Linked DNA regions of Caenorhabditis elegans. The protein of the gene in region 3 purifies or fractionates together with the protein of the main gene of each other region. This does not show direct contact. Each region holds a gene or a part of one and is shown on either strand. Other genes may lie near its edges.

Region 1 (6,102 bases), on a different chromosome or scaffold from region 3:
TCGTATTTATTACCTGATCAGCTGGGAGCTCCAGTTTCTTCATATGTTCAACAAGTTCATCATAGTGTTCGATGTTTTCTGGGTTTTTCAAATCATATCCGCCAGCAATAACAAGATGACATTGCGAAAATTCGTCGGCAGGAAGATTCGATTTCAATTTCTCTGCAAAATAATTTATTACACAGGTTTTTAAAAATATAAAATCTAAAGTTACCGAATGCGTCTAGAGCCAAAACGATATTCTTCTTTCGTTCAAATCGGTTCAGTGAGGTGAAAACATATTTGGTACCACGTGGAATTTCTTCACCAAAATCATCCGAAGCTTCAATCGAATCGAAAAACTCGGTGTTCAACGAAGGATAGAGTACGGTCAGCTCCTGAGATGCCAGTGACTTGAATGTTTCACGAACCACATTTTTTGTAAAATTACTATTGACACAAATGACATCTGCAAGTCCAGTTGTGTACTCTTCAATCCAATCAATAATATTTCTATAGAAAGCTTTCAGATTTCCATCACGTTTCGTTAAAAGTCGATCCGGGAAATGACAATAGAATACGAGTTTTGCCTTTGAGAAATGACGAAGAACAAATTGACTAGCAGATACAGAATCCGAAAGTATGACGTCAGTATCTTTGTGGTAGATTACAATGTAGAGAGCAGCAATGATCATTTTAAGATATGCACAAAGAGCATGACCTTTTCCAAAAATTGAACGGGGTATCCATGGAACCACAGTACAAATATCTGAAAAATGAAATCAGCTTGACGATTGGTATTATTACGGAGACGCGAAATTTTTTAGATTTTTGCGACAAAAATACGGTATGTGACTTCTTTTTTTTGAATGAAAAATTGCATGCAATTTTAATGAGTACTGTAATTTCAAACTTTTGTTGTCGCGGAATTTTCATCAATTTTTATAGTTTTTCGATAAAAATATATTTATTTATGTGATATCTAAATATATCAACAAAACACGAATTTGGAAATTTTTTCAATTTTTTTTTTGCGAATTTTGAAAAATGAATGTTTTTATTGAAATTTTTGAGTTTTAAATATTTAAACAAATAACTTTTAACACAACTTTGTCGTGTCAAGACCAGTTACCGTATTTTTGGCACAAAAAAACGCGAAATTTTGCATTAAGGCAATACGACTCACCCAAATCTAGAGTTTCTTGGAAACAATGCGATCTACTATATTGATTCGTGAAAATCCGAACAGAGTGTCCTCGATCCTGTAATCCAACAGCAGCATCAACAATCAATCGTTCGGCTCCACCGATGCCTAGATCTGGATGGAGAATGGTTACCCGGACCATACTACCAAATTCAATATTTTAATTCTTGTATTCAATTTTTTTAAAATATGAGCATGGTAATATAAACATAATGTTATATAAACTTTTAATTTTTAGAAAATAAAACAATTTATTTATTCATTCCTTAAAATCTCTGTAAAACTCGGGGTGGCACAACCTATTGTAACATGGATGCTATGGCAATTCGAAAAAAAAAGTGAATAGGGAAAACCTTAACAAAAAAAAAAGATGATAACAAAAACTGATCTAAAGACCCTTCAGACAATCATCAAGAAGACTGCTAGCTCCGATGCGGAACAAGTGAGGATTGAGCCATTCGTCGCCGAGAATCTGAAAAATGAATTTTATAATTGTATTTAGAATAAGTAACACTCACATCTTTGACAAGAGCAACATAAGAGAGTGCTTCATCAACAGTTTTGATTCCTCCAGCTGGTTTGAATCCAACCTTCTTTCCAGTGAGCTCATGCCAACGCTTAATGGCAGTACACATAACGTAAGCAACTTCCAATGTGGCGTTCACAGATTCTTTTCCAGTTGAGGTCTTGATGAAATCGGATCCAGCGAGAATACTTGCCCAACTTGCTCTGTAGACGTTGCTCAAGGTTTTCAGCTCTCCAGTTGCCAAAATAGTCTTGAGATGAGCCGAGCCACAAGCCTTCTTGCATGCCAAAACCTCATCGTGAACAGTTTTCCAATCCTCGTCCAATGCTGATGCTCTGCTGATGACAATATCGATTTCAGTAGCTCCATCAGCAACAGAGAGCTCGACTTCAAGAACTTTGGATTTCAAATGATATTGTCCAGATGGAAATCCTCCGGCTACTGAAGTGATATTGGAGTTTAACTTCGAAGAAGCAAGGAATTTCTTGACATCGGCGATTCTTTGAGGATAGACGCAAACGGATCCACAATGAATTGATGGATCAGTTGGGACTGGATTGATTGCTCTTTTTGCCAATGCAACAACTTTGCTCGCAGTATCATCACCATTCAAGGTAGTTAGATCAATATATTGAATTACTTTGCGAATTTCGTCTTTCTGAAACAAGCATTTTAATAGAAACAAAGAAGAATTATGCTTATGAATTATTAATCTTACATTTCTCAAATTCTTCGCTTCTTGCTCGTATTTGCTGATGGCCTGAGCAATCTCCTGATTATCAAAATCGCGTCCAACTTCTCTTTCGAATGTGGCCACGTCGAAACGGCCCTTGTAAGTGTCACGAACGAATGAGAAGAGTGTTGGCACGATCGTCGCCATTTTGTGACTGAAAATTGAATATTTTTAGAACATTTTTCGAATAAAACGAGGAGTTGAAGAGGAATTATATAATTAAAAATAAAAATCGTGGCGCACCGAGCAAGATTGGTGCAAACACTAGAACGGAAAAGTGCACAACTTTTTTATCTTGGTGGGAAACAAGAAACAATTTTTTGTTGAAATAATAAATACTTCACAGCATTGAAACAATCAAAAAATAATAATTGTTTCAAATTAGAGAAAATAAGAATACTTTTTGTTCGCGAAAATGGCAAGAAAAATCGTGAGACCAAACCGATAAAATAATTTCTTCTTTATCGTTTTGTTCCAGTTGATAACAATTTTGATGATTGAGGCCATTCGATAAGTTATATGTGATCCGCTTATCATCTCAAAGGTCGTTTATTGAAAAAATAAGAATTATTTATAATATGCGCATTTATGAAAGTCACAAAATTACAATAAACCACTTTTAAAATCTTATTCTACACAAACCTACTGTAAAAGTTGTAGAGAAAACTGAAAGTTGAAGAGAGCATAGAGAAATAGAGATATACAACTGCTGACGTCTTTTCGGCACTCAGCTGACGCACTTTGCGCGCATCTTCGCAATAGATTTTCCGGATTTACTCTATTTTGGTAATACTGAATTCAAGTATGGCAAACGACGAAGAGTTCTTTATTGTTCGATGTCGAGGACCTTCAAGCTATCGTGAATCCGTCTATAAATACCTAGTAAGTTTTTTTTTGTATTTTTAGTTACGATAAATAAAATTCGCAATATTTTCAGACAGGACAACCATCTGATTGGAATCGAAATTCTGTGTTTTTGAGAAATATGCATGTCGGAAGAGCAAAAAATGTCAAAGAAATCTTCAATTGCATATTACAGACACAACCTCTTCCTGTTGTACAACCTTGTAAGATTTTTTTAAACAAAAATTTGTATTTGATTGATTTTTAAGGTCACCCAGTAAGACAACCACGCGAAAGCTTTTACTCATCTCATGAACATGATCCAATGGATGAAGTTTTACTACAAGAAGTGAAGGAAGAAGCTCATTCACTGGCTTTCAAAGGAATACCAATTGAAACCAAGGGTCCTACACCATCATCAACTATTATGAATCCTGAAGTTACGCTTAGAGACGTTCTGACGTTTCACAAAAATATTAAAAGAAGACCACAAGAGACAAAACCGGCAAAATTTGATTTCTCCGCAATGCCATCAACTTCTCGGTAAGTTTCGTGATTTTTTCAAATTTAAAATTCAAAGTAAAAAACTTTTCAGACTTCCACCTACATCTCCAAAACGCTACCGCCAGTTTGCACCTCCTCCAATCTCTATGAAACAGTCTCCCAAAATTTGTGCCAAAACTGTTTCGTGTCCGAGTACGTCCGAAGTAAAGAGCCCACCAAAAAAGATGATTATACAGAAGATACAGAAACATCAGGAAGCACCGAAACCAGCAAAAGTGCCAAAAATCAAAGGCGAAAAGAAGAAAAAAGATGGTGAGTTATTTTTAAAAAAATCGATAGATGTCTGATACAAAAGTGTCTATTGCACCATGTTATTCTAAAATTTTTCATTTGAAAATAACTATATTTTTACATTGTTTTTTGAAGAAAAATTCTGGAATGATATGGAAAAAATCGTATTCTTAGGTATCTGTTACTATAATAAACTTATTCAGGTCGACAAGATGAACAAGAAGAAATTGATATTGAGTTGAAACTCAGCAAATCTACAGTATCCAGTCAGACATTGGTAATAATGAAAATAACTTTTTAAAAATTAAAAAAAAAAGTAATCTTTTAGAAACGACACAACATCAGTTTCGAACGAAAACCACAAAGAGGAATTTGAATGGAAAAAAATGATTGATTCATTATTATATGTATAATTGTATCCTATTAAGTATTTGATCAAAGCTTTGATAAACATTTTGGCAATAAACTTATTGAGAATAAAATTTTTTACATTGAAGTGAAGTGAAATTGAAAATAAATTAACTATAAGTAAATATAAATTATGCGTCTCTCTTGAGCATTGACATAAAGTCAGCTTTGAACATGTTGGCCATTCCCAAATTTGGAAGTCGTTCCGAATTTTCTTGTTGTCGCAAAGCAAAAAGTTGATCGAATATCTGATCCTTTGGATGGAACTGTACATGTTGTAGAACTTCACTAGCCAAACTACGAGCTTCACTGCCACTAATATCATCACGAGTCGCAATAACAGCAGAAAGCAATTCAGCAGGACAATTTGGAAATTTCCGAGCAAATGAAGTGGCTTCAAGTGACAGAAGAGATTTGTCTTTTAGAGAAATCACATCTCCAGCTGCAGCCACAATTGATGTTAGGAGTGGGAGCTGTAAAAATGTTTAAATTAATTTTTTAGAAATAAGATTTTGATCTCTACCTGATCAGCCATATCAGAACTTGTCGCAAATTCAGCATAAAGATTATCCAAACGAACAACATCAGCTTTCATTCTCTTTCCTGCAAGTGCACGCTCTTCATACGAATTGAGACTCACTCGCCTGAAATATTGGTGTTTTGAGAAAAAAAAATCCAAATTAAATGCTACTTACTTTGTTTCGATTGCCTTCAAATATTCGCTAACAATTCTAAATTGAAGATCCATAAGCAAAGTGGACCTTGTGACTGGTCGCAGATGCTTGTGATCGTGGTAATAATCGGAAATAGTCATACAAACTGTCTCGAGAGCAGCACTTCCGGTTAACCATTTTTTCGAGAAGATTTCAACGAGACTTGGAGCAATATCTGTGATGACTTCTTCTCGGAGATAGTTTACTCTGAAATTGAATTATTTTAATTTGGTGAAAAAAAAACGCTAAATTCATAAACACGAAACCCCTATCCTATCTGCTTATACACAGGCGCGAAATTTCGCGATTTTTGTACCAAAAATACGGTAGCCGGTCTCGACACAATTTTCAATTTTTGTTCAATGCGAAAAGCTGTGCGACTTGAAAGAGTACTGTAATTTCAAACTTTCGTTTCTTCGCAATTTTCATCGACTTTTTATATTTTTCGCAAAAAATATATTGATTAATTTTAGAAAAAACTAGAATAAAACAAATTAGAATCACATAAATTGTGGGAAATCTTGAAGAGCTACAGTACTCTTGCAAGACGCGTTTATATAAAATAAAAATCGTGTCGAGACCCGATACCGTAGTTTTTGAACGAAAACTTCGCGTCTCGGCAATAGTAATTTTTTTTTTGAAATGTTCACCTCCAGTCCAATGAACCAAAATTCAACTTTTCCAATGCTATATTAATCTCTCTAGTCCGGTCAATTTCCAATAGAAATTTGTGGTCATCAAACAGCACAGAGGGTATACTGGCATCTGTTGGTTCTGCGCCCTCTCCAAAAAAGAGCTGTTTCGTGTGAGTGCTATTGATTTTGCATAAATATTCGTGGCGACACAACGAACAATTTGAGATTTTGTTTTTGTTGGTTTTGCTTTTTTAAAATTATTTTTA
Region 2 (8,156 bases), on a different chromosome or scaffold from region 3:
CAAGAACGGAGCAATATTATTGTATGCATCACAAATATGGTTGAAGATGGAAAGGTAACTTATATAAATTTTGACTTTTAAACATCTCAAATTTCAGAGAAAATGCGATCAATACTGGCCATCACAACAGGATTCTCCGCAAACTTTTGGAAATTATCAGGTCACTTTGGTATCAGAATCTACAAATGCCCACTTTTCTCATCGAATATTGGATTTGAAAATTGCAAAAGCAGTGCCAGCTGTTGAACGGAAAGTCCATCAGCTTCACTTTATGGGATGGCCGGATCATGGAGTTCCTTCGTCTGTTTTCCCACTTTTAAGCTTTGTTCATTACACTTCCGATATTCATTCCACCGGACCCGTTGTAGTTCATTGCAGGTATGTTATTCTGAAATCCGAGAATTTTAGTTTTAATTTTATATTTTCAGCGCCGGAGTTGGTAGATCTGGTTCATATATCCTTGTTGATAGCATGAGAAGGCATTTGATTAGTTTCCGAAGACTCAATGTTCAAGGACATTTGACACATATGAGAAGACAAAGAGCGAAATTGGTGCAGACTTTGGTAAGAATATCTACTTTCTTTGAAATCTTAGTATCAAAACTTCTGATTTCAGGAGCAATATATTTTCTGCCACGAAGCTATCCGGCAATTGATTCGTCACGGAATCACACGAGTTCATTCAGACCTTTTTATGAGATACCTGCATTACTTATCCGAAGAAAATTTGAACGGAAAAACAAGAATGCAGTTGCAATTTGAGGTTTGTATTAGATATTTTTCTAACTCCTCTCAACTTTAGTATTTATTCAAGGATATCTGTGATTGCAAACATCAACCTCGATGTCTAATTGAATCAGACGTCATAACACTCCCAGGATACCATAGATCTGATGAATTCATGGTCGGATCATGGGGTAATGAATGTGAAGATCTTTGGAGATTAACATGGCAACAAAAAGTTCAAACAATTGTGATTCTAAACCAACGAGACTCGTTTTGGAGAAAACTTCCCAGTTGTATATACGATGGTGAAATTCAACTTCAACACGGAGATAACTTTGTCCTGCTCCAAAAAGATGATCAACAACTGTGTGTTCGAATTGTGAATGTGTCAAGAGCAGATTTGGATACTGATTTTTGGAGGGAAATTGAAAATGTTCAAAAACAGAGGATCACTTATCATGATGCTCCATTGCTTATTCTGGCTCATAAATACCCACCAAGTGTTCCATCACCAACAGATAGTACTTCTACATTATCACTTTCTATTTTGTTTAATGGTGAGTATAGCTTGATATCTATCAATATTTTTGGTTCAAAAAAATTTTGTAACACAAATTTGGAGTTTATAAAAACCCCTTTGGTTCTAGTTTAAAAATGGTAGTGTGCGTAGAAACGTACATACTATGATCTGTAAATACTTTAAACTTTAATTATATTATATTTATAACAAAATTGATGAATATTCAGATGATACAGCACTTGCATTCAGTATTTGTGCAGCCACAACTTTAGCGTGTCAACTGGAGACAACGGGTTGTGTTGACGTGGTACAGGTTCTTTCATCGTATACCGAAATTCAGTGTGGTATTTTTGCCTCGAAGGTGAAAATCGAATTATCTCATTTTCCAATACCAAATTATTTTGTTTTCAGCAAGAAATCGAGATAATCTATGAAAAGATGTCACAGCTAGTCGGAGGAACACGTGTCTAAAAATTTATAAATTCAATTGGAATCGATCCGAAGTATAACTTCCCGAGAAGAAACAATAAAAAATCAATTTCCGGTGTCATTATAAATGAATATTTAATTTATTAATTATATTTTGAAATAATAACAAGCTAGATGGTCAGCGAAGCAAATAAAATGGATACAGCTTTAAAGAGAAAACAAAAGAAAAAATGATTACAATCCCTTCAAAGTCTTGTCGAGAAGATCGAAAGTCAGATCCAAATGTTTTTTGGTGTAGACGAGTGATGGACGGAAACGAAGTGAACGGTCTCCACATCCTCCACAGTGAAGTCCGTTGCTGATGGCCTAAAATTAAATTGAAGTTTAAGAAATTTAATATATAAATGTAAGATGGCTGAATTTGACATTTATCACTATTAATTCTGCTTACCAAGTCAACAAATTTGTCTCTCAAAGATCCAGATGGGAAGTCAACGGCGGCAAAAGTTCCTCTTCCTCTGGCTTGATCCAACTTTCCTCCAGACGATGCTTGAAGTTCTCCAAGTCTCTTTTGGAATTCAGCTCCAACTTCTCTGCTCTGCTCAATCAATCCATCTCTCTTAATAACCTCAACAGCCTTTTCCAAAAGAAGAAGCTTGGTCGGATCTCCCATCCATGTGTTGTAAATACGGTAAGCCTCCTTAACTCGGAGATGTTCTCCGTAGAAGTATCCTCCTGTCAAAAGTTTCTTTGAGAATGTGACCATATCTGGTGGAGAGCTCAAGTTCCAGTGATCATGAGCCCAGATATCTCCAGTTGCTCCACCTCCAGTTTGAACTTCATCAACAATGAATACAATTCCATGTTTAGAAGTAATATCACGGAGGCCTTGGAAGAATGCTGGACTTCCATAATGATCTCCACCTTCTGCTTGAATTGGTTCAACAATAATTGCAGCTACATCATTATCACGACGTTTCCATTCGGAAATCTTCGCTTCAACGTCAGCAAGACACTCCTGATCTTGCTTCTTATTGTATGCAACATTCTGGTCAAGTGGATACTTATAACGGGGGAACTTGGCAATTGGCCAGTCAAATGCTGGAATATCAACCTGAAAATAATTAATTAGAATTGTTTCGAAATAAAACTTTGAAATACCTTATGAATTGGCTTACTTCTGGTAACCGACAACATGCACAAAGATCTTCCATGGAAAGCTCCTTCAAATCCCATAACTGAAAGATTTGGAGTTCCTGGTTTCTGTTGATTCATGCAGCTTTCCAAATGAAGAGCATCTGGTCCAAGACCTCCTCTTCTCTGAGCTTGATACCAGATAAATGCAGTTTTGATTGCATTCTCGTTGGCCGATGTACCGCAAAGCATTGTTTGAACTGCCTTCAATCCTTTTGGAGCAATTGATGTAAGAGCATGAGAAATTCCATCAGCAAAGTCGGTACGTGGGAAGGATCCAAGAGCTGGACGAGAAACAAGAGATGTCTGAAAATTTATTTTCTAATACATTTCTCAACTTTTCAGTAAGTATCTTGTTTTCTTTAGTTTTATCCAAATATTACAGACAGGCAAATCACTTAATATTTAATTTTTTACTGGTTTCTAGGTGTACGGTTAATGTGAAAATATGGTCATTATGTGCCTTCCTCCTGCCTGCCTGACTGCCTACCGCCTAATTTCTGTATTTGTGCCTGAATGCGGATGCGGCGTAAAACATTTTCATGCGTACATGGAAGGCTAAGTTCGAATGCTCCAATTGATTGTAAGAGGTTCAAAAATTGATTTTGAAATCAATTTATAAAAACTCACAATCAAATGTGGCTGCGAAGCGACCTTAACCAAATCTGGATGATTGTATCCCAAAGGAAGAGATGATATTTGAGTATAGACATCGAGAAGTGCATTTCCTAAATTAAATCCTGGTGTGTAAACTGAAAATAAAAACTAACCATCAGCATCTACAACGTAATTTCCGAATGATTTCTCGTAGTCGACATGGAAACGAACGGATGTAGTTTGCTGAAAAAAAATTTTTTTAATTTTTATAAAATTTTGAAATCTCATATTGCATTTGGAATGATTCATATGTTTCATAACTACAGTATTTTTGACAATATGTATAAAATTTAAATTTCCTTGAAATATTATTTTATTTTTTGTATTATCAATGAAATTGAAGATTTGAAATTAAAAAAACTAAAATCAAATAATCAAAACTCCTGAATGTCAGTTGTCAGTTGACCAGAGAAAGTGTAATATTTCTGAGACGAATTTCATTCGTTCTGTGATAAGGGTAAGAATGTGATGTTCATGTAATTACGGAGTTGAGATGTTGGTTTTTGATTTGAAAATTGAACTGAATGGCTCGAAATTCTTCGCAATTGTGTGACCATTAAATAGCTAATAATGTTTTGTAATCTAAAATTATAATTTATCTATCTTATAATTCTTAATAATTTAGAATCAAATTGACAATGTTGAGCTTCTGTTGAGCAAGTTGTCAGAAAGTTCAGCCAAAGTTTTTGTTTGAAAAGTAATTTCAAGCGATTTCGCCACTGAATAATTGTCAAAAACTAAAACCAATACATAATGAGCGTATAAGATTTAGAATAGATATAAAAAATAAGTTATCACAATTTGAAGGTATTTTAAGGTCCATGATGTTTAAAAAAACCATTTAACTTTCGATATCTCAATTCTTACATGAACTTTATCCATTTCCTGTTTCAACGCCTTTGACTTTGGTCCAGGAATGCTCGTTGAAATACTAGGTCCAGATGGCTCGGCATTTGCAATCGCCGAAACTCCACGCACTAAAATAAACGTTTCAATTGAGTCAGAGCATTTTTTGGAAACATTCTCATGGTGTTGAAGTGTTTTAGTATTTTTTTAAAATTTCAGAAAATTTTGTTTTTTTAATCTTCCAAATTGAAACATGTGGTGAATATCAAAATACCTGCCAATTTACCAAAACTTCGATTTTATCGTTCAGTTTTTCTGATCTTTTCCCTATTCGGTTTTACTCGAGAAAAATCAATTGCCTTCGTTAATGTTTGTGATACTGATAAACTGATAAGAGAATCAAAAAAGTGTTGTTTGTTTCTTTTTCAATGTGTTTTAGGTCAAAGATGCAAGTAAAAAGGGTTGAAAATGAATGTATCTAGAAGAACTAAAAAGCTGCAGGTTAGGTTTTTCAAAATCAAAAATTATATGTTAAATTATTTCCTAAATAAATCCCAGTTGAATCCAAAATATATTAATTGGTTTACCCTGTTGGATTAAAGATGACTTTGCCAGTCTGGGAAGCATTCTTCCTTCTGAAAAAAACTATTCAAATTATTCGAAAATCGATTTGAAAAAAACAAAGAGAAAGAAGAGTAAAATTTGAAGTGGCAGGAGAAAACCGAATAATTTTTTCTCCCGTTTTCTCTTTTTAGGCGTCAAACGAGACGCAGAGAAAGGCAGGGGGAGGAGCTTATGTTTTTTAGTGAAGGAAATAAATGCGTTTTCTAGTGAAAATTGTTTGAAGAAGTAAACTGAAAAATTGGAAGCCAATGGAAGACGTTTATATTGAGCCTGTGAATGGTGTAAACTTGCTCCACGTTGTGCAAAGAAAAAGGCTCGCAGAGCACGAAGGGTGTAATCGGAAGGACAACTGACACAAAGAGATGGGGTCACGTGATCGATTTATTGTTTCTTCAGATTCTGGAGATATCGACAAGTGAAAGAAAAGAGAAAAAGAGAATACAATCTAACCGGTAATCTAAACGTACTTATTAAATCAATGCAATACATAAGAATAGGGAAGTAAAAAATCAGGAATCAGAAATATTAGTTTTTGAATCTGTTCTAGAAGCTCCGGGGAATAAAAAAAAAGATTTTCGATTTTAAGTCAAAGCACCGTTACATTTCTTTAGCTTTATACTACAAAAAGGTATAATAAATTGAGACCTACAAGAACGAATGGACTACTTTTAGAGAAAAAGAAATAGAAGTTTACATGAAATAAAACATTCGTTTCTTGAACTTTTAAGACTAATCAAGTGTTTCTTCAACAAGTAAATGTGCGGCTCTCATATATTTATGCACTGCTGACTCAAAATCGGACTGTTCCAATGGAAGAAGTTGATTTACGGAACCTCCAGAAGCTACAGTAGCTTTTGCTCGAGCGAGAAGAGCAAGACGACAAACCTGAAAAATTACATAACAACACGATTATTGGCGTTTCATTTTCCTGTAACATAAAAACTTAAAATTTTCGAACGCGTATTATTTTTTAAGCTAATTATTGTGTATCTAACTTCTAAATATTTTTAGATGATTTTGGAAGAAGTTGAAATAATTTAAATGAGTTTTTTTAAAATTAAATTCAAAATTGTAAGTTTTTTCAAGCTCACTATTAGAACAACTTGTATTAAATATATACAATTCTCTTCACTAATGTTTTTATTTGTATTTTTTTTTCCTTTAAGGTTACTGTAGACAATTATATTACATTTTATCATATTACAAATTACATTTTTCCTTTAAAATCCAATGCATTTTTCACATTAGAAACATGAATTAATTGTGAAACAGCAATTTATTCTCATGAAGCTCGCAAAACTTTGCGATTTCTGCCCCAAATATTCTCGACACGAAATTTTATGTTAACTATGAAAAGGTGTGTACCTTTAAAGAGTACTGTAATTTCAAACTCTCGTTGTTGCAAAAGTTTAATCGAGTTTTCGTAGTTTTCAATAAAAACACATATACTTATTTGCTGTTTCACTATTAATTCATGTTAAAAATGTATTGGATTTTATAGGAAATCCAAGATATATTATTGTCTACAATTTTTCATGTTGAACAGATTTATATTAAATATTTCGTTACCGAATTCCACTAGAATATATGTGACATATATAGCCACAAAGCGAACTAATAATATTACGACCATTTCGGGGATGTAATATATTTGATTAAAATTTTAAAAAGAAAAAAAGCACGAACCTCTTTCAAATCACTTCCACTAAGACCTTCTGCTGCCTGTGCGATTTCTCCGAGATTTACAGTATTATTGATCTTTTCATTCCTGAGAATCACATTAAGAATCTGACTTCTTTGCTTGGCATTTGGTACTGGAACTTGGAATCTTGCAGTCATTCTGCGTAGAATAGCAGCATCAACGTCTCGTGGACGATTTGTAGCTCCCATAACAATGATTTGATCTCCAGAACTAGAAAATCCATCCCATAATGTCATGAATTGTGCCTTCATCATTGCTGTTGATTCGTGATCATGAGATTGTCTGTCTCGGAGGAACGAATCAATTTCATCAATGAAAATAATTGTTGGTTGAAACTTTTGAGCAACAGAGAAAACAGCGGCCGCAAGTTTTTGAGACTCTCCGTACCATTTATCAGTTAGGTTTGACACTTGAAGATTGATAAATCTGAAAGGTAGCAATATTTAAAACAGGTCAATTCTGCATTTATGAATAACTAACCGGCATCCAGCTGCCCTTGCAACTGCTTTCGCTAAAAGAGTTTTTCCACATCCGGGTGGTCCATAAAGAAGAATTCCACGTGGAGGAGACAATAAATGACTTCCACTTTGCGATGCGAATCTCAAGGGTAAAATAATGCGATCCTTTAGTTCAGCAACAAGTTCTTCGCAGCCACCTGTAAAATTTTTCTTTTTTTTTGCGAAACAATTTTCTGTTCTACCGATCTCATCCCAATCTGCTCCAACGTCTTCTCCGCCAACAAACTGCGTGGCGATTCTAATTTCGTGCTCTGAGAGTTCTATTTGACGATCGATACCAAGTTCATGAAACAGCTGTGCCACCTGTATATTAAAAAAACAAAATTAGTGTTGTAAATCTACAAACCTTCTTTTTGCTTTCTTCATTCACACTATAATTTGGATCCAAGTACTTGACTAGATAGCGCACTGATAGAAATGAAACTGCAGCCGCCGCCACTACTCGAATTGCAACACCGATCAACTCATTACGATCCGTCATCTCTAACATAACAAGTATACCTTGCTGTTTTATCATCTGCTAGATATTCTTGATTAACGCGAATAATTTATCTGACATGGTTGAATACAAAATTATATCAACAATTTTATTGAAGGGTTTTGAATTAACAGGTAACAAATTAGTTGGAAGCACGGATCGACACCTGGTACACTCGGATGATGTTATCGGTGTATCCGGCGAAGAGGGTTTGTCCGTCTTGAGACCAGGCCAAAGAGATACACTGTGGGCTGGATCCTCTTGAGCTTCCAGAGCTGGCGATTTCTGGCTTGAGCTCCTCGATCTCCTTCTTGTCCTCGAGATCCCAGATCTTGATGGAAGATCCGACAGCGGCGCAGAGCCAGTATCTGTTTGGAGAGAAGGACATGGCGTTGATGACGTCGTTTCCTGGAAGGGTGTACAAGTGCTTGCCCTCGTTGAGGTCCCAAAGCATAGCTTGTC
Region 3 (7,495 bases):
TCGGTTTCTCGGTTTAGTGTGCCGCGGAGGGCGCCGCGCGTTTTTTTTGCCTTCTTGCCAACTGCCACATACGCACACAAAACACATTGGATAGAGAAGAAAGTTGTTTGCCAGTCGGATCTACGACTCCGCATCTTGCCTAGTGTCTCGGGAATTGAGAAAGAGCATGAGGTCCGCGAGGGGCCTTCTGCCATCATCCGCGGCGCCCGTCCTTCCTTCTCCCCTTTCTTCCCATTCATAAATACTCGGCAAATGAACTTACTGAATTGAGAAAGAAAGGCGGAAGACAATTGAAATGCGAGAGACAAAGAGATGCAGAGTTCGAGCAGGAAACGGTTTGGTTTCTGCGCTGTGCATGGTGGTTGTGTGGGCTGTGCGTGCTGGAAAGATATATCAAATCGTGGATATACTTGAATTGACGTGGCAAATAAATGAAAAACTGTTTGTCAACAGTTGATAAGTGCTGAATGGATTTGATATCAGAACCTATAAAATCTCTCAGAACCTTTCAAATGTCTTCTAAGACTTTGTGAAAGATAATGATGAATAACTTGGTAGAAAATAAAGAAGTGGTTTTTGAACATCAGTTCTGATTATTTTGATTACAAGAAATGAACAATGAAAATGAAAACTTATAACGACAGATTTCCAGAAGAAAAAAAATATGTTGAGCCTGGATATGAACAAAAACAGATTACTTTAGCTTCAGGTTGATAAGTATCAAGGTAAAAATAACACTGCCAAATATTCGTTCAGATTTGGATAAAATTCAGGTATTCGTCGTCTTGGCAACCATTGTCCCAAATACGGCTTATCGAATATATTTGAATGTGCCACTAATCACAACAAGGATTATCTATTTTCACGCCTCCTCCCCACGGTTTCATCCTTTCATTTTGGAAAATAATACTATCTGAATAAATATTTTCAATTGCCTCGCTACAAAATTAAAAAAAAAATTGAAACACACACACAGTTATGCGCTGTTGAAAAAAAACATTATAACCTCTATTAATAAACGCACCATTATTAATCTTCGGGGGATTTTATTTCTTTTGTGTCCTATGTAAAAATGTATAATTCACAACAAACTTAACCTTTTTCTTTTATTTCTGTACTGAATTATTATTACTACAATTTCAAGATGTGCCGAGGTGAAAAAATACTATTAAAGTGGGGTGTGCAAAACTGAAAAAGGTAATTCTCGATTGGTTCGATTGCCAAAAATTATTAAGTTTCAAACATTTTGCTTGAAACAAGCACAAGTTGTATGTTATGACAAATCTGTAAATTTACCCATTATTAACTCGAGAAGCAAAAGTAATCAAAGTTAAAAAAAAAGATTTTTCAATACTTATACACTTTCTCATTTCAATTGTTCGAAAAGATATTTACTTTCAGTTACTCGTTAGATTTTCCACTTAAAAAAAAACACACAAAAAATTGAAAGGTGTGCAAAAGTCCAATTTTTAAAATTTTGATTTCTTCTCAAATCTCGTGGCATTGAATAATTTTTTTTCTGTACTTCCATAAAATAATTAGTTTGTGAGTGGCTTGCGATTCAGCATTTATCGCCAAAAACAACTTGTTAGACTTCACTTGTTATGCATATCTACATGTAGCCCTGCTTTTTATCCAGCCGACACATCCATATGGAAAAATTGAAGATTTTTTCTGCGTTCACCCACGTTACTTTTAGACTGCAACAATGTGTCCGAGAGATTTTTGAAAAGTCTCATAATGGAATGCACCATTTTCAGACTATTTTTTGTCTCTTTGAGCAACAATTTCGAACGGTTCTTCTTCCTCTAAATAACAGGTTCATCATTTCTCGTGTTATTTCCTGGTTCTGGGTCGTTTTCTTGTTTCTTCAGTCTAGTTCTTTGACCAACGACAATTGACACATGGGTAATTTATTTCTCTTCACTTTTTTCCTCTACTCGAATTGACACAAGACTCGGTGGCTCACGCAAACGCTGGATATTACACAACAATTGTTTTCCGGCCATCGGAGAGTATGGCAAAAAAATGTTGTGAAAAGAAAGAAAGTGGTAGCCGACGAGGATGAGGTTCAAAAGACTCTCATACCGCCATCTGCTATTTCATTGCCGTCGAATGCCATCTGTTCCTGCTCTCATCGGCATCCATCTTTCCCGAAGTTGCCGAACATGCTTTACACAGTTAACCTCTATCGGCCAAAGGCTCACGCAACGTTGTGATGAGCCAGTAGAAAACAGTCAGAAAAAGTGATAAAAAGGGATACGGGATAAGAAGTTACATGAGAAGACAGGAAGATAGAAGGAAGGTTGATCTCCGCGTAATAAAACTTTGAGTTTTTCCGAGTTATTTGAAAATTGAATGATTTGGGGATTTTCTAAAACAAGAGAATTTGGAAAATACATTTTTACAAATTATATTGAAAAGTAGAAAAATAGAACATTTAACTAAAAATTTATAATTTAGACAATATTCAAGTTGAGAAAAATGTTTTTAAAAAATGGTGGATTTTATCAAGATAATTTAATTCTCAATCTAGACATAAACATCAACCTACTTGTGATATTTTTAGCTATGAACATAATCACCAAGCTTTCCAGAGTCTTTTTTTCTATTTTACAAAGTTTATTTCACTGCATTGATTGCGCGAAATCAAAATTGGAATAAACTCCAAAAATACCAGATTAACAAACAAATTATGTATCGTGTCACCAAATAAAAAACTATTGTTGCTGGAATTAAACAAAAATATAATTATTGAAATAGGCTCATACCTATTACAGTTGGTTCGAACGAACACAATGTTTTTTTGGGAGTGTAAACAAACAAAAAGAGCCATTAACGTTAATTTGAATACTGAAAGTATATTTTTGTCAGCAATCGAATAGACATTGTGCAATGGGAATTTGACTGCGTTTTCATTTGCAGGTGTTTCAAAATGTTATATATCAGACAAAAATAAAGTTGCCTTTTTACCTTTTGAAAAGATTTTTGATCAACACATTTTTTAATGCAAAACTTTCATATTATTTTTCTGCGAAAAAAAAACAAATGTCGAAAAAAAATTTGTTGAAAAATAAGCCACACACAAAGATGGAACACATTGAAAACACTCAGCACACATGCGAAGCCTTTAATTAAAATATTTCTTGCACATTCTCAATTATTCGTCATTTTCATTTTTATCTCAAGTCTTTCAATTTTGCAAATTTTAGACTCCAAGTACTAACACCTGATTACTTTAAAAAAATATATATTTTTCTAGTGGTGAATATGGAAATGTGTTTTAAAGTTTGAAATTTTTGAAAACGTGTAGGACGTCAGTTTGAATAGCACATTTTCATAATATTTTTGAATATTTTGATTTTAACTTTTTGAAAAAAAAAACATTTAAATAAAAGATATAGGACAAAAAACTTTTCTGTAAATTAATTAATTTATCTTGGAAAAAATTAGATCTTCAACAAACTTTTACATTTTCCAAATTTGTTTGTTTGTTGATTTTTTTCTAAAGTTAATCAATTAATGCGCAAAAACACTATTTTAAATAAAAGAGGATGGAACTTATTAATTGAATTATTTGCTCCTTACTTGATTGCTGAGATTTCAATCAAGTACATAGTTAGAGTACTGCAAAAATTGTGCCCGAAAGTATATGTTAACTTCTTTATAATTTTTTCATAAAACGCCATATTATGTATTGAGGGTAGTTGTCAACGTGAAACAAAACCACTGCAAAGTACCTACCAAAAATTGTGACAATACTCTCGAGCATCGATGTAACATCTTCTATTGAAAAATTTAATTCGGAAAATTGAGAAAAAACAACCAATTATTAAAAATTAAGTAAAAAAACTTTACATATTGAACAAAAGTTATTTGAAATCTGAATTAATATTAACCGAAAATATTCATTCACATCATGGCAATGCCAAAAGTCCCGAAAAAATTCAGAATCTTCACAATTTTCTAAACACAATCTAGTGAATAGAGTGGTTAACTGCATAAGTTTGAATGGAGTGGTATGTAATACAAACAAGAAATAAAGATACAAAAAATGAGGAGAAGTAAATGGAAACAAAGTTGACAGGTAAGAAAAAATAATTCAATTTAAGTGATCAAGGGAATAATTATTATTCGACAAAAATAATGTTATTCTGTCCGCCCAAACCGTTTGGCACCTGTTGATAGTCGCTCGACGTCGCCCATTCGCCATTGATCATGAATCGGAACTCGTGTCTAAAATTATTACTTGAAATTTGTGTTTTGAATTTGAATGTTGTTACCTTCCACGCGTCAAATTGACCGTGACTCCTTTCTTGCCGCTAACCAGTTTCTCGCATTTCAATGTGCATTTCCAGTTGATAAAACTTCCCTGAAAAATCAAATGAAGACCTATTTGGCAAAAAAAAACTTACCGTCAAGTAAACTTCCTGCTCTGTGTTCGAAATGGTCAACGTTACATTTCTTCCTTCGTTAGCTCCCCCAAAAATGAATGGATTGGCTCCGGCGAATGGCAGGGCTGAGACAAGTGGGATGGATGGGATGGCTCCGGTGAAACATGGCTGGTTACTTCCGCTGCAAATACTTGGAATAGTGATATCAAGAGAACCACTGGTATAACTTACTTGGCAAGGTTCCAAGTTCCTTGGTTGCTTTGGCTAATGGTGAATCCGTCGGTGGGAATGGTCATGGTGCTGGAGTGACTCCTAAATTATTGGAATTTCGATTTCGAATGAAATATTGCTTTGGATGAGGAACACTATATTCACACCGTCAAATACACTGTACACTCGTTTCAATTTTTAAAAATTAAATAAGAAAAACAAAACATAGTTAGTATTGTTTTCAATTCAACTACTCCGCAAATTTCAGAAAAAAAAATATAAAGTGCATTGCTTTCCAGACGTTAAGTTACAAGTAGTTCAATAAAATCTGTATTCCTTACCTCACTTCCTGTATTAACCTAAAAATGAAATATGAAAAAATTCTTTAAAGTTTCCTATCTGTTATTTTGAAAATTTATTCAGTTTTTGATTTTTATAAAGTCCTTTTTTGGGTAATTCTAGAAAGTGATCAAAGATGTTCATGCAATTTTTCGTTTTTATTTTTATGTAATGAAATGATTTACAAGCGCCGTTTTTGATATTTTAAATTCATGAAACATTCAATCTCGTATTGCTCTGACCCCAACTCCAAAGAAAACTCACTGATCATTAAGGCTTTGAATCTTCGAGTTTGCCGTGTCAAGCAAATTTCTCTGTAGGGCAACAGAGGATTCCAACTCGCCGACCTTCCACTTTGCATCGTTCCACCATTGGGAGAGCTCACCGAGACGCCACTCCAGCTTGCTCTTCTCTTCGTTGATCTCCCAGACACGCTTCTCGCTGTCCTTCAGCATTTTTTCAGCGTGTGAGGTGTCTGCTCTGGCCCTGAAAGAAAACCCTAAATTAAAAATTGCTTGTCATTTCAATGCCTTACTTCAATTGTTCAGTGATTCCCTTCAAATATCCGTTCTCCTGTTCCAACTTGCCGACACGTTCGTTCGCGTACCAGTTAGCCTCCTGGAGCTGTTGCTTCTCAGCCTCAGCTTGACGAATTGAATTGTTGGCCAAGCCGAGTTTAACCTCTAGTGCTCTGACGGCGGTACTCTTCACTTCTTCATGAGCGTCGGAGTTGAGTTGATTCTCTAAGAATGTTACCCTAAAATAATTTTTTTTCCGATTAACTCTTGAACTTTTAAATGTTTTACTTGTCTTTTGCGTTCTTCAAATAATCTTGATTCTCGGAGAATTTGGTCTCAAGATCCTTATTTTTCGATTCAACAGTGGCCAACTTGTTTCGAAGCTCTTCAATGACATTGTGCAAGTTGCTGAAAGAACTAATTAAATAATAACGTGAAATGTGCATTTTGATTATCATACTTGATTTCTTCATCGTGATCCTGGGATCGTTTCTCGTCGATTTCCGAATCAATTCGAACGAATTTCTCTTCAGAATCAGCCGATTGGGCGGATTCCAACTTTTTCTCAAGATTTTTGACTTTAAGTTGAGCGGCTGACAAGTCGGATTTGTATTCTTTCACTCTGTTAAGTTGAAAAATTAAAAAAAAATTTAAACATATTGAGAAATTAGGGTTATTACCTAATTTTCAGCTCATCATTTCGGTTTCTCAGCTTTTCCAGCTGTCGGTCGTTCTTTTCCTTTTCGGAGTCTCTTCCCTCGCTCTCCTCGCTGATATTCACATTTTCAGGCTGAGCATCAAACTGGCTTCTTGGCTGATTTTTCTTTGAAGTACTACGAGCACGGGTCTTTCCAGCTGCATACACCTTTTGTGACCTTCCACCAAGTCCCGCGGCAGCTAAAATAATGCAAATTCTCTGTTTGTTTCAATTTCGCCGGTCAAATTTGTCACAAATGTACCACTCGGAGACCGACAACATGTTTACAAGTTTGAATTGGACAAAAAATGTCAGATCGCTTTTGAAGCATTTGGAGATTTCACAGTTTACACAGCTGCGATCGTGTTTTGATTGAGCAGGAAAAAAATTAGCTGGTACTTCAAAACTGTTACAAAGCTATGCACTTAAAAAAACACGAAATACTACTTTGGCTTGATGATCAGATTTTTATGTTACTCAGTCAAATATGTCAAAATTTCAAGAATATTAAAACCAATATTTTGAATTGGTAGAACATTAAACAAATTTTATACAGTAATCCATTTTAAATTGCCAGCTCTGGAAAATAGTGGCAACTATTGGGGCAATAAAGAAAATTTTCACTGTTAACGGAAAATTCGTTTTTTTTTTTGAAATGGGCTTCATGTTTGGATTTGCCCCATGCATGATACTCATTCCTAAACGATTTTGCGAATATAGGTCTTTTTAACCCCAAATTCCACGTAAACCAAATAGAACCAATTACCGAAAAGCTTCTGCACAGCTGAAATGTTCTTTTCAAAGGCGTCATTGGCCTTCGAATAGTCGGCAAAATGGGTTCCGTGGCGTGATCCGTGTGCTGCAAGAAAGAAAAACTTAGACACCGTCGCAAATTTATGGTTCTTGTTTTCCAATTAATGTTTTCTCTCGTATCGACAAGTCGTCTCTCACCTAAATGGATAAAAATCGGCACTGAATCCCATCCGTTTGGAGGTGGGTACACCTTGCCGGTGTTGTTGTCGAACCTTGAAATAGAAAAATGTTAAACGTTTTGTTGACTGACTGACTGGAACTTTGGATTTGGATAATGCTAATCGACAATGGGAAAGCAGCAAATGTTGTTCTAATATAATCATATTTCTGCGCGGATTGTCTATTTGTAAACATGTACATGCATGTTCTAAACCGGTTTCGGATTATCAACTGATTTTTGGGAAAATTGTTTACGTTGACCTATCACTTTGAATTAGACAATTCACGTTTCACCTGGTGTTAGGGTTAGGGTTAAAAAGAATTGTAAACTTTGATAAGACATATATACACAGTCATTTTTCATT
Region 4 (8,051 bases), 700 kb from region 3:
GTGCTGTTCAAATTATTTGATTTTTAATTCGAACCGGAACATCTCCATTTGCAGCGTGTGTGGGTGAGAGACCTAAGGCAACGGGTACCAAAAAATTGCGCCTTCCGGGAATTGGGATTTGGAAAATATGCCTAATTAAAGTGACGAGATATAAAGTTGGGTACGGAAGAAGTGTTATCAGGTTATATCCAGTGTTTTTCGGCTACCAGGCGTACACAACTCGTTTGTTACTATGAAAAAAGCGACACGGGATAATGGAAATTCGAGAATTGAATTTAAGAAAAAGATAATATGATAGGGTTAAAGTATTACTTTAGAGATTTAAAATCATGTTTGTCTTCCCGCGGTTCTACTCCCTTTTCATTTTATTTCATTCAACGCCTAACTATTACTAACTCTCTTTGGAGAGGAAGTCAAATCAGCGCAAGATAGATTAGAGACCAGTTTGGATTTTTCAAAAGGTTGCAACTAACAAGACTGAAAGTCTAATCGGATAATAATCTCTTTCCAATCCAATTACAAATTAAAAACGAAGAGAGGAGAACTTGAAAAGAGTGCGTTGGTTGGAAGGCAGAAGGATATAGTTGAAGTACATCCTGAAGCAAATCGGATGTTTGCTTGTTGTCAATTGATGACTCAGTTCTTAGAACTTCATGTACTGACAATTTGGTTATCACTATCGCAAAAAAACAATCAGACGGATGCAAGAATAGCTAAAATAGTCGCGGGTTCAAAATAGATATTCGTATATACGTTCTGCAAGGTTGACTATAAAATGTTTTCAGTTACGTTTCAGTTACTTATTCATCACATTACGTACTTATTCATTGTCAAAGTAGATTTAGCAATCAAGCACTATAACATAAGTATGACGTTGTATTGACATTAACGGTGATTGATTCTGACAATTCATTCAGCGCGGACGAATCCGATTTACGTCGTAACTATATTCTTACCCAGTGCTTTGTTTCAATGGGTTTTATCAGCACAATAAGTTAAATTGAAGCGTAAAAAGCAAACGACATGTGTTTTTTCACACTCATCATTACGCTTTATTTGGCCATATCACATCACAACATGGGTCAAAATTCTTAGTTCTTGAATTCTTTGTTTGTAACGGATCTCAAAAACAACTACAACAAATTGAAAAGTGGGACGTTGAAAAGATGGAAACGTTCAAATTCAAACACGTGGCTAAGAAGGAGGAACTAGCTCAGTGGAAGTTAGAGCAGCTCAAAAGCTCGCCGGCGGTAATAGTTTGTTTTCGAATGACACCAAAGATTCGAGACTTTCGTTGATTATAAGAAAGGCCTTTTTTCGATGAAAATAATAATTAACAGAGAACGTGGAATCTCTGTTCACAATTTCCGAACTTAAAATGCGAGTTCTAAGAACACAATTTCGAACATCTGCTGTTCAAGTACAATTTCCTGGTCCGGTATGTGAAACATTTTCTACTAGTCCAAGCTTCACTTAGAATACTAAATAGAGTTTGTTCTCAACTGAGTCTTCAGCTTTCGATTCCTTCCTGTCTTTATATAAAAACATGCGCTTCTGGGAGTAAGTTTGTTTTTATTAGATAAAAATATTATCATTCCCTTGTTATCTTTTTGTTATTGTGTTGAATAATCAAACAAGATAATTTTCATTTAAGTGTGTGAAGCGTCCGACCAATTCAGAACATTCCTACTATAACCAATGTAACAGTCTATGTATAAAGTCACATGTTACCACACATTTTATGATTTTTACGGAACTAAAGAAGAGTTTTTAGAAACTACTTGGTACATACTTATCAGAATGGTTTGCACGAAGGAAATTGGTCTTGAATTTCAATTTTCTCTGCCGCTTCTTCCAATCTCCCAGCACACCCATGTCTATGAAGCAAAACCAAATTGCGATGGAATCGGAGCAATTTTTGATATCAACTGATAATGTTCATTCGTTTCCGAAAAGTCTTAACGAGGCGAAACCATGCCGATCGCACTATTTACAGATCATATTATAACAAAAACGGTTTGTGTTTCATTATTTGATAGCACAAACTGTAGACAAGGAAATACGCACCTAGTTTGGTTTGCTGGAAGAGCATGACAAAAGAAAACAATTCTCCATAAAAGCGTCTAAAATGTAACAATGAAGATCGAAAAGTAAAAACTTGTGGCAAAGTTCTAGACTGGATAATTGATGCGACAACCAAGTGGTTTTGTTGCGTTTTTAGTCACGATTATTCCAATTCAGGCTCTCAAATGACGTCGTCACACATAATGAATGAATTATGACAAAACAGACTGCACTACTGAAGAGAGCAATGCGGAACGAGGATTCAGTGTGTAAACTAAGGTAAATCCGCGTGAACGTCGTAACTGCTTGGATTTACTGTCTATTCACTCATTAGTGAGTGATATACTTGTATTGAATGAAATTTCCTAAAGCTCCCGTCGTTACGGAATTCACGGTCAATTGAATTTACAAAAACCGTCCGTATTCAAAAACATTATTATAAAATGAATAAAAATTGAATTGTTCGATGTTTGATTGTTTACTGTTTTGGTTTTTGTTTAGATTATTCTACTTGTACTTGAATTGTCCTTTTAACATTTTAGTGAAAATAATCAAGCTTGAATGAGTTTTTTTTCAGTTTCACATGACTTAACCCTTGCACAAAGTTGTTGAGCCGGAAACTAAAGCTTACTCATTAGAAAAATTTACCTACTACCTGATCGTAGTTAGGGTTTTTACAAATAATCTTTGTGTTAAAAGAGAAAAACACGCTTGTTTTGTGAAAAGAATGCTGGTTCGAGATGTATCTGGGGAACTGAAAAACGTCGGTTCAAAAATTAGCTCAATATTATTTTTAATGGAACTTTATAAGAAAAAAACATCATCACATAAATACGAAAATCTAAATATTACCTCATTGAAATTTGAATAACAAAAAAAATGGTCAAAGACACAAATAAATATAATCTTGATCCTATTTCAGAGTATTTCCTCGTCCACCCCCACCAATCAAAAGTATATTAGGAAGCCGCGTTCTTTTTGACCCGAAGATTGGATTATAAGATTAGCAACAGAGGTGTATCCTTTCACGGAAAATTGCAGTCCATTTCAATAATCACAAGATTTCTGATTTGTTGCATTGTGTTGGTTTTCTGGGGAAGGATATACGTTTTTCTAGAACTATCCATGCCACACTTTGATTGGCATTGAAAGTGGCATCAATTGCTCTTTCGCTCTGCGATCACAGAGCTGTAACTCCGCCTCTGACAGTCTTCGGTACAGGTGCTTACGTAGGAATTACCGGGTTTTGAGATAAGGAATTGTGATCAAAGGCACGTGTAAGTTGATATAAAAGAGAGTCCAAAAGTTAGCAAACTCAGACAGCTTGTCCATCAGCCGATATGTTTGTCAAATCGCTTCTGCTCCTTTCTGTCGGTGAGTGTGATAACAAAATTAAAACTGGTTTCAGTGAACAGCAAAATTGTATAAGATCTAGTAAATCACCAGCTCAAAAGAATTAGATCAAAACCAACATGAAATTGGATTTTTAAGGTGCTAATTTAATTTCAATGTTTACATTTTCTTTTTTTTTTAGTTATCAGTTGAAAATGTTTCGATAAGTCTGAACACTGATGCGTTCAATCAATTAAAACAAAACTAGAGAAATTTTTAATTTCCATAAGGCTGGTAATATCTTCTTTTAAAAACAAAGAATGAAACGTCATTTAAAGTTTAATATCGGCTAACCAAAGATTAATCTAGACTCAACTACTCCCATATTTAGTGTTAACTCTTGTTGTTGTTTGCTTGTTTATAAAATTTTATCGGATGAAAGTTCGCTTAATATTAGCTCAAATCATTTCTCGGCTCACGGGACATCTGATTATAGGTTTACAGCTAATAGCACGTTTTGAAAGCTAAATATGTGTTTCACATTTGTAAAAAACAATAGGGAAAAGTAACAACAATTATAGATCGAAGAAATAGGAGAAAAATAAAAATAAATTGAAACTTTAAAAAAAGGCAGAGACAGCGAATAGAACTATTTCGTGATTACGGTATTTCAGCTATTGCGTACGTTTCCGCCGACTGCCTCCACTGCATCTGCATGAGAGAGTCAGGATGCAAACCAATCGGTTGCCACATGGACGTTGGATCCCTCTCCTGCGGATACTATCAGGTAAATCAAGATCAACTAGGGAATATGTGAATCTAGAAATGGAAATAGCAGAATATCAGAACACGTTTTCAATTTTGTCATGAAACCATACAAGATGTTCGGTTGCCTGTTTATTGTTTTGCCATTTAAATAAGGAAACAATAACACTTCAGAAAAATACGTGAAATTCAAAAGCTCATCTTTCATGTCTTCATTAATTGATGGTTTTTGAAATCGGCACGAAATGTTTGTTATGCCTCATTGAACAGATATTTCTTTAATGAAAATCTAGCATAATTGAAACGGTTCATCGGACCACAGCCCCCATATTTTTCACATATCTCTTCTCAAGCGAATCGGAAGTTCCTAATCAGTATGGTAAAATAAATCGCGTTGAATTTTAATTTTGAGTTTTTTCGATAAAAATGTATAACAAGAAACGATGTTTTAAATTGCTAAAACAAAAAAACCACAAAAGAGCAAATGCGTACTTTCCCGAGGAAATGGACAGGAAATGCTTTGAAAATGTTAAAACGGGATTGATTTTTGTATAGGGGAACTTTTGCATTGAAGCTAAGAAGATAAAAGGCATACTAGAAATGAAAACTTTCAAAACCATGTAGACAAGGAAATTGTATGGAACAACAACAAGGATATACAAAAATTGAACTCTACTCTATGTATTCCAGTTTTTTTTAATTTTAAATGTACCAAGACCCAACTATAAAAAGTAAAGAATAAAAATATAATATGTTTCTTTTAGATCAAGATTGGATACTATGAAGACTGCGGACAACCAACAAAGAAGGCTGGAGAGACTACTGAAGCTGCCTGGAAGAGATGTGCTGATGATCTTAACTGCGCTACCACTTGCGTCGAGGTACGTGCAGATTTAGCAACAGGATACATGCAAAAAAAATCATCAAAATTCTTATTTTGGGAAAACGGGTGTTGAGTGGGTGCAACTTTTCATCCTTAAATCGCAAAATTCCGGATAGACTGCGGCTTATTTCAGTCATGGAAGCAATTCTATCCTTTGGGAATCTCGTCATATCATTCTCAAAATTAAAAACTTCGCGACTAAATTTAGTGTACGAATTACGTGGATCGCCCACCTGAGAACTCAAATTTCTACTATCTGCCGCTAATTGAGGCAAATTAATTTAAACGTCATGTAGACAATACTGCGATGAGTAACTTTTCTGCAATTTCAACGGCGGAACTAGAAAAAAAGGAACTAGCTCAAAATAAGTTGCGAGATAATGTCAAAAATCACAGAATTAACCTGTAAACAAAAATGCACACATAGCAAACGAGCCCAGCAAAAAACGTCATTGTTAGCTTCTATGTATGGCTATAGCGGTGGCGACGTTAACGACATCAAAGACAATAAGTACTTATTGTTATCAACACCCCGCTAACAACGTGCTTACCACGCCATAAAAAGTAGCAAAGAAAGATTATGACGGCTTGAAAAGAGGTTAAAGAACTCTAATACGGAATGAATGTTTGCACTCTTCACAAAATTTATTGAATACGTCAAAAATCACATATACAAAAGAGGAAATCTAAAATTTTAAAATCTACATGTTATACAAGCATTTTGAAATAATTTCAGAACTACTACAACCGCTACAAGTCTCAGTGCAATGGACTTGGAATGGGAGCTTGCCAGGTGAGTCGCCTACGCAGTTGTTGTTTTGCTCTGGGCACTTTCAAATTGTGTAGATGAAATACAATTTAAAGTTTTCGAGTGTCTGGTAGTTTGGAGGAGGTTGCCCCCCGATTTTGATTTTTGAATTGATCAGAAGGAAACAAAATATTTCATAAAGTGATGCGAAGTTTTAGGAAAGATACAAAAATTTCCGCGAAAAAGGGGTCAGAGTTTTTTATTTAGAGCAAGAATGCTACTACGCAACTAACTATAAGAGGTTGAAAATTAAATGTCGAACATTTCTATTTTGGGTAGCAGGGGAAAACATTAATATGCCATAGTCACTAGGTAGGTGAAACGACCCTCTGGAATAGAGAAATTATTGCAGACCTGAACAGGTCTGACGTAGAAATGTCTAGAGCATCCAAGTAGTATTCCACCAAAAAATGTACATATACTTCCTGACAATTTTTGGAAAATTCTGACGACAGAAACACTACAATTTTTTCTCGATTCTTTATCTTTTAATCATTTTGGTCACACTTGAGCAGTTTTTTAACATCATTTCATTGAGTGGACATGTGTATTTGACAATTGATAATAGTGGGACTAACAATCAGAAAACTACGTAGCATTTTCAGAAGTATGTTGTTTTGTTCAAGTTAGGACAAAAGACCTTAGATTTCAATCAAGCAAATGGCAATCCATTCAATTTCAGATCATGTCCCGTAACCACAACGGAGGACCACGTGGATGCCACAACGCCAACACCTTGGCTTACTGGAACGGAGTTAAAAGCTGCTGTGGATGCTCTTAATTTTCAATTTTATCAAAATAAGAATATATATGAATCAATAAAGCTTATTTAAAATCAAAGTAGAAAGGATATCAAACTTGTTTATAAGCTTTTCAAAACATAGGTTGCGAAAAAATGCGAACGTTTTGAAAAATAATTGAGTAGGCGAAGAGGTCAGTGGGTTTAAAATGATGTCAGAGTGAACAATTTATGAGAACAAGCATATCGTTTTCTAAATTTGTAAAGGTCTAAGTAGACCACCATCTATGTCATAGGTTGTATCTTAAAATAAGTTGACCCGTTTTATGATCTAGTTTTATATTCTTTTTGCCTCTGGTGAGAATAAACAAGGCTTTCAATTTGTCTGCTCGATGATGCATGATGTTTACGATACTTTCGGATTAAAATAATCGTGAGATGGATTTGCACGAAAAGGTTGCGGAACGAACAGCTCGAATGATATTAAATGATAATCTCGAATTGTCAACAAAGTACATTATGAAGTGATAGGAACTGTTGTTCGCAGACCTGAGATGTTTTGAAAACTTGATTTTAAAACCTACGCAACCGGAAAATTAAAGATCACAAGATTTCTGTGAGGATCATAACGGGTGTAGGTAGCAACTTTATCTCGGTGTTTCCACATTTCTATTTCAGGCTTAAAAACAAAGTTGGTCTTTTTCGTTCTCAAGTTGAGCTCAAGACAGAAGTTGGGAAAAATATCATTTTCAGATTACCAGCAAACTTTTCAAAACAGAGCAGAAAGAAGAAAACTGATCATTCGTGATAAAATATTTAGTCTCCCGAGGATGAAAAGTTTAAGGAAGTTAACTTTTTTATCTGTTGTTAATAACCTATTTTTTAGATTGAGTATTCAACATATGTTAAAAAAAATGTTTTCACTTCAAAATTTGGAAGAAAATTAGGTACTTTTCCGATTTTTGCCCCCCAAAATATGTTTTACTCAATATTTCAATTTAAATTCACACGTGAATGTTTATTTTAATACTATTTCAAATTTTTAGGCTTAGAAAAAACAATACTAAGCCTGAAATTACAAAAAAGTTCACGTTTCATTAATGAAAATATCGAAACATTTTGGGGGGGCAGAAATCGGAAAAGTACCGAAAATTAACTTAATTAACTTGATAAGTTCAAAACTTGTCTGAATAAAGTAAAAAAACCAAAGATTTTTAAAAGTTATAAAGTGATGCTTTTTGATTATCTATCGTATCCAAACAGGTGGTCAGACAAAACAAACGACACCTCGTGAGAATATCCAGACAGCTAACAAGTGACTGTGAAACAAGGAAAAACTTCAGAACACATATTAACTGAAAAAAAAAACACTTAATTTTTCTTACTTTTCTCTATTTTGTTCTCAATTGATATCATCTCTTTGCCGCTGGTTTTTCTTGCTCTGACTCTGAGCAAGATTT

Evidence for each region.
Region 1: the proteins of F46H5.3 (region 3) and F09E5.3 fractionate together in Caenorhabditis elegans (co-fractionation; one large-scale study listed by BioGRID). This does not show direct contact.
Region 2: the proteins of F46H5.3 (region 3) and gta-1 fractionate together in Caenorhabditis elegans (co-fractionation; one large-scale study listed by BioGRID). This does not show direct contact.
Region 4: the proteins of F46H5.3 (region 3) and ilys-5 fractionate together in Caenorhabditis elegans (co-fractionation; one large-scale study listed by BioGRID). This does not show direct contact.

What each region holds. Positions count from the first base shown.
Region 1 is NC_003280.10:5,370,491-5,376,592, reverse strand, and holds F09E5.3 (Putative deoxyribose-phosphate aldolase), read right to left. Parts: upstream 2,597-6,102; 5' UTR 2,590-2,596; coding exon 2,428-2,589; intron 2,368-2,427; coding exon 1,702-2,367; intron 1,656-1,701; coding exon 1,572-1,655; 3' UTR 1,428-1,571; downstream 1-1,427. Other genes in the region: algn-2 (Alpha-1,3/1,6-mannosyltransferase ALG2), read right to left, coding at 14-162, 215-748, 1,166-1,325; agt-2 (AlkylGuanine DNA alkylTransferase), read left to right, coding at 3,247-3,324, 3,380-3,509, 3,555-3,828, 3,881-4,101, 4,284-4,357, 4,409-4,456; sec-6 (Exocyst complex component 3), read right to left, coding at 4,620-4,961, 5,012-5,132, 5,184-5,408. UniProt on the Caenorhabditis elegans protein: Catalyzes a reversible aldol reaction between acetaldehyde and D-glyceraldehyde 3-phosphate to generate 2-deoxy-D-ribose 5-phosphate.
Region 2 is NC_003282.8:10,177,511-10,185,666, reverse strand, and holds gta-1 (putative 4-aminobutyrate aminotransferase, mitochondrial), read right to left. Parts: upstream 5,008-8,156; 5' UTR 5,000-5,007; coding exon 4,960-4,999; intron 4,504-4,959; coding exon 4,394-4,503; intron 3,710-4,393; coding exon 3,640-3,709; intron 3,598-3,639; coding exon 3,500-3,597; intron 3,176-3,499; coding exon 2,837-3,175; intron 2,790-2,836; coding exon 2,127-2,789; intron 2,042-2,126; coding exon 1,910-2,041; 3' UTR 1,728-1,909; downstream 1-1,727. Other genes in the region: ptrg-1 (Tyrosine-protein phosphatase 4), read left to right, coding at 1-54, 98-378, 429-564, 617-763, 815-1,283, 1,474-1,607, 1,658-1,717; mspn-1 (Mitochondrial sorting homolog), read right to left, coding at 5,726-5,881, 6,683-7,124, 7,179-7,353, 7,399-7,519, 7,563-7,697; rack-1 (Small ribosomal subunit protein RACK1), read right to left, coding at 7,837-8,156.
Region 3 is NC_003284.9:7,234,880-7,242,374, forward strand, and holds the start of F46H5.3 (putative arginine kinase F46H5.3), read right to left. Parts: upstream 3,784-7,495; coding exon 3,745-3,783; intron 2,167-3,744; exon of another isoform or gene 2,023-2,166; intron 1-2,022. Other genes in the region: F46H5.7 (AMPK1_CBM domain-containing protein), read right to left, coding at 4,131-4,236, 4,284-4,372, 4,416-4,575, 4,626-4,706, 4,946-4,963, 5,208-5,429, 5,479-5,700, 5,750-5,869 and 4 more.
Region 4 is NC_003284.9:6,532,131-6,540,181, reverse strand, and holds ilys-5 (lysozyme), read left to right. Parts: upstream 1-3,341; 5' UTR 3,342-3,404; coding exon 3,405-3,438; intron 3,439-4,070; coding exon 4,071-4,183; exon of another isoform or gene 4,184-4,925; coding exon 4,926-5,042; intron 5,043-5,780; coding exon 5,781-5,837; intron 5,838-6,534; coding exon 6,535-6,633; 3' UTR 6,634-6,692; downstream 6,693-8,051.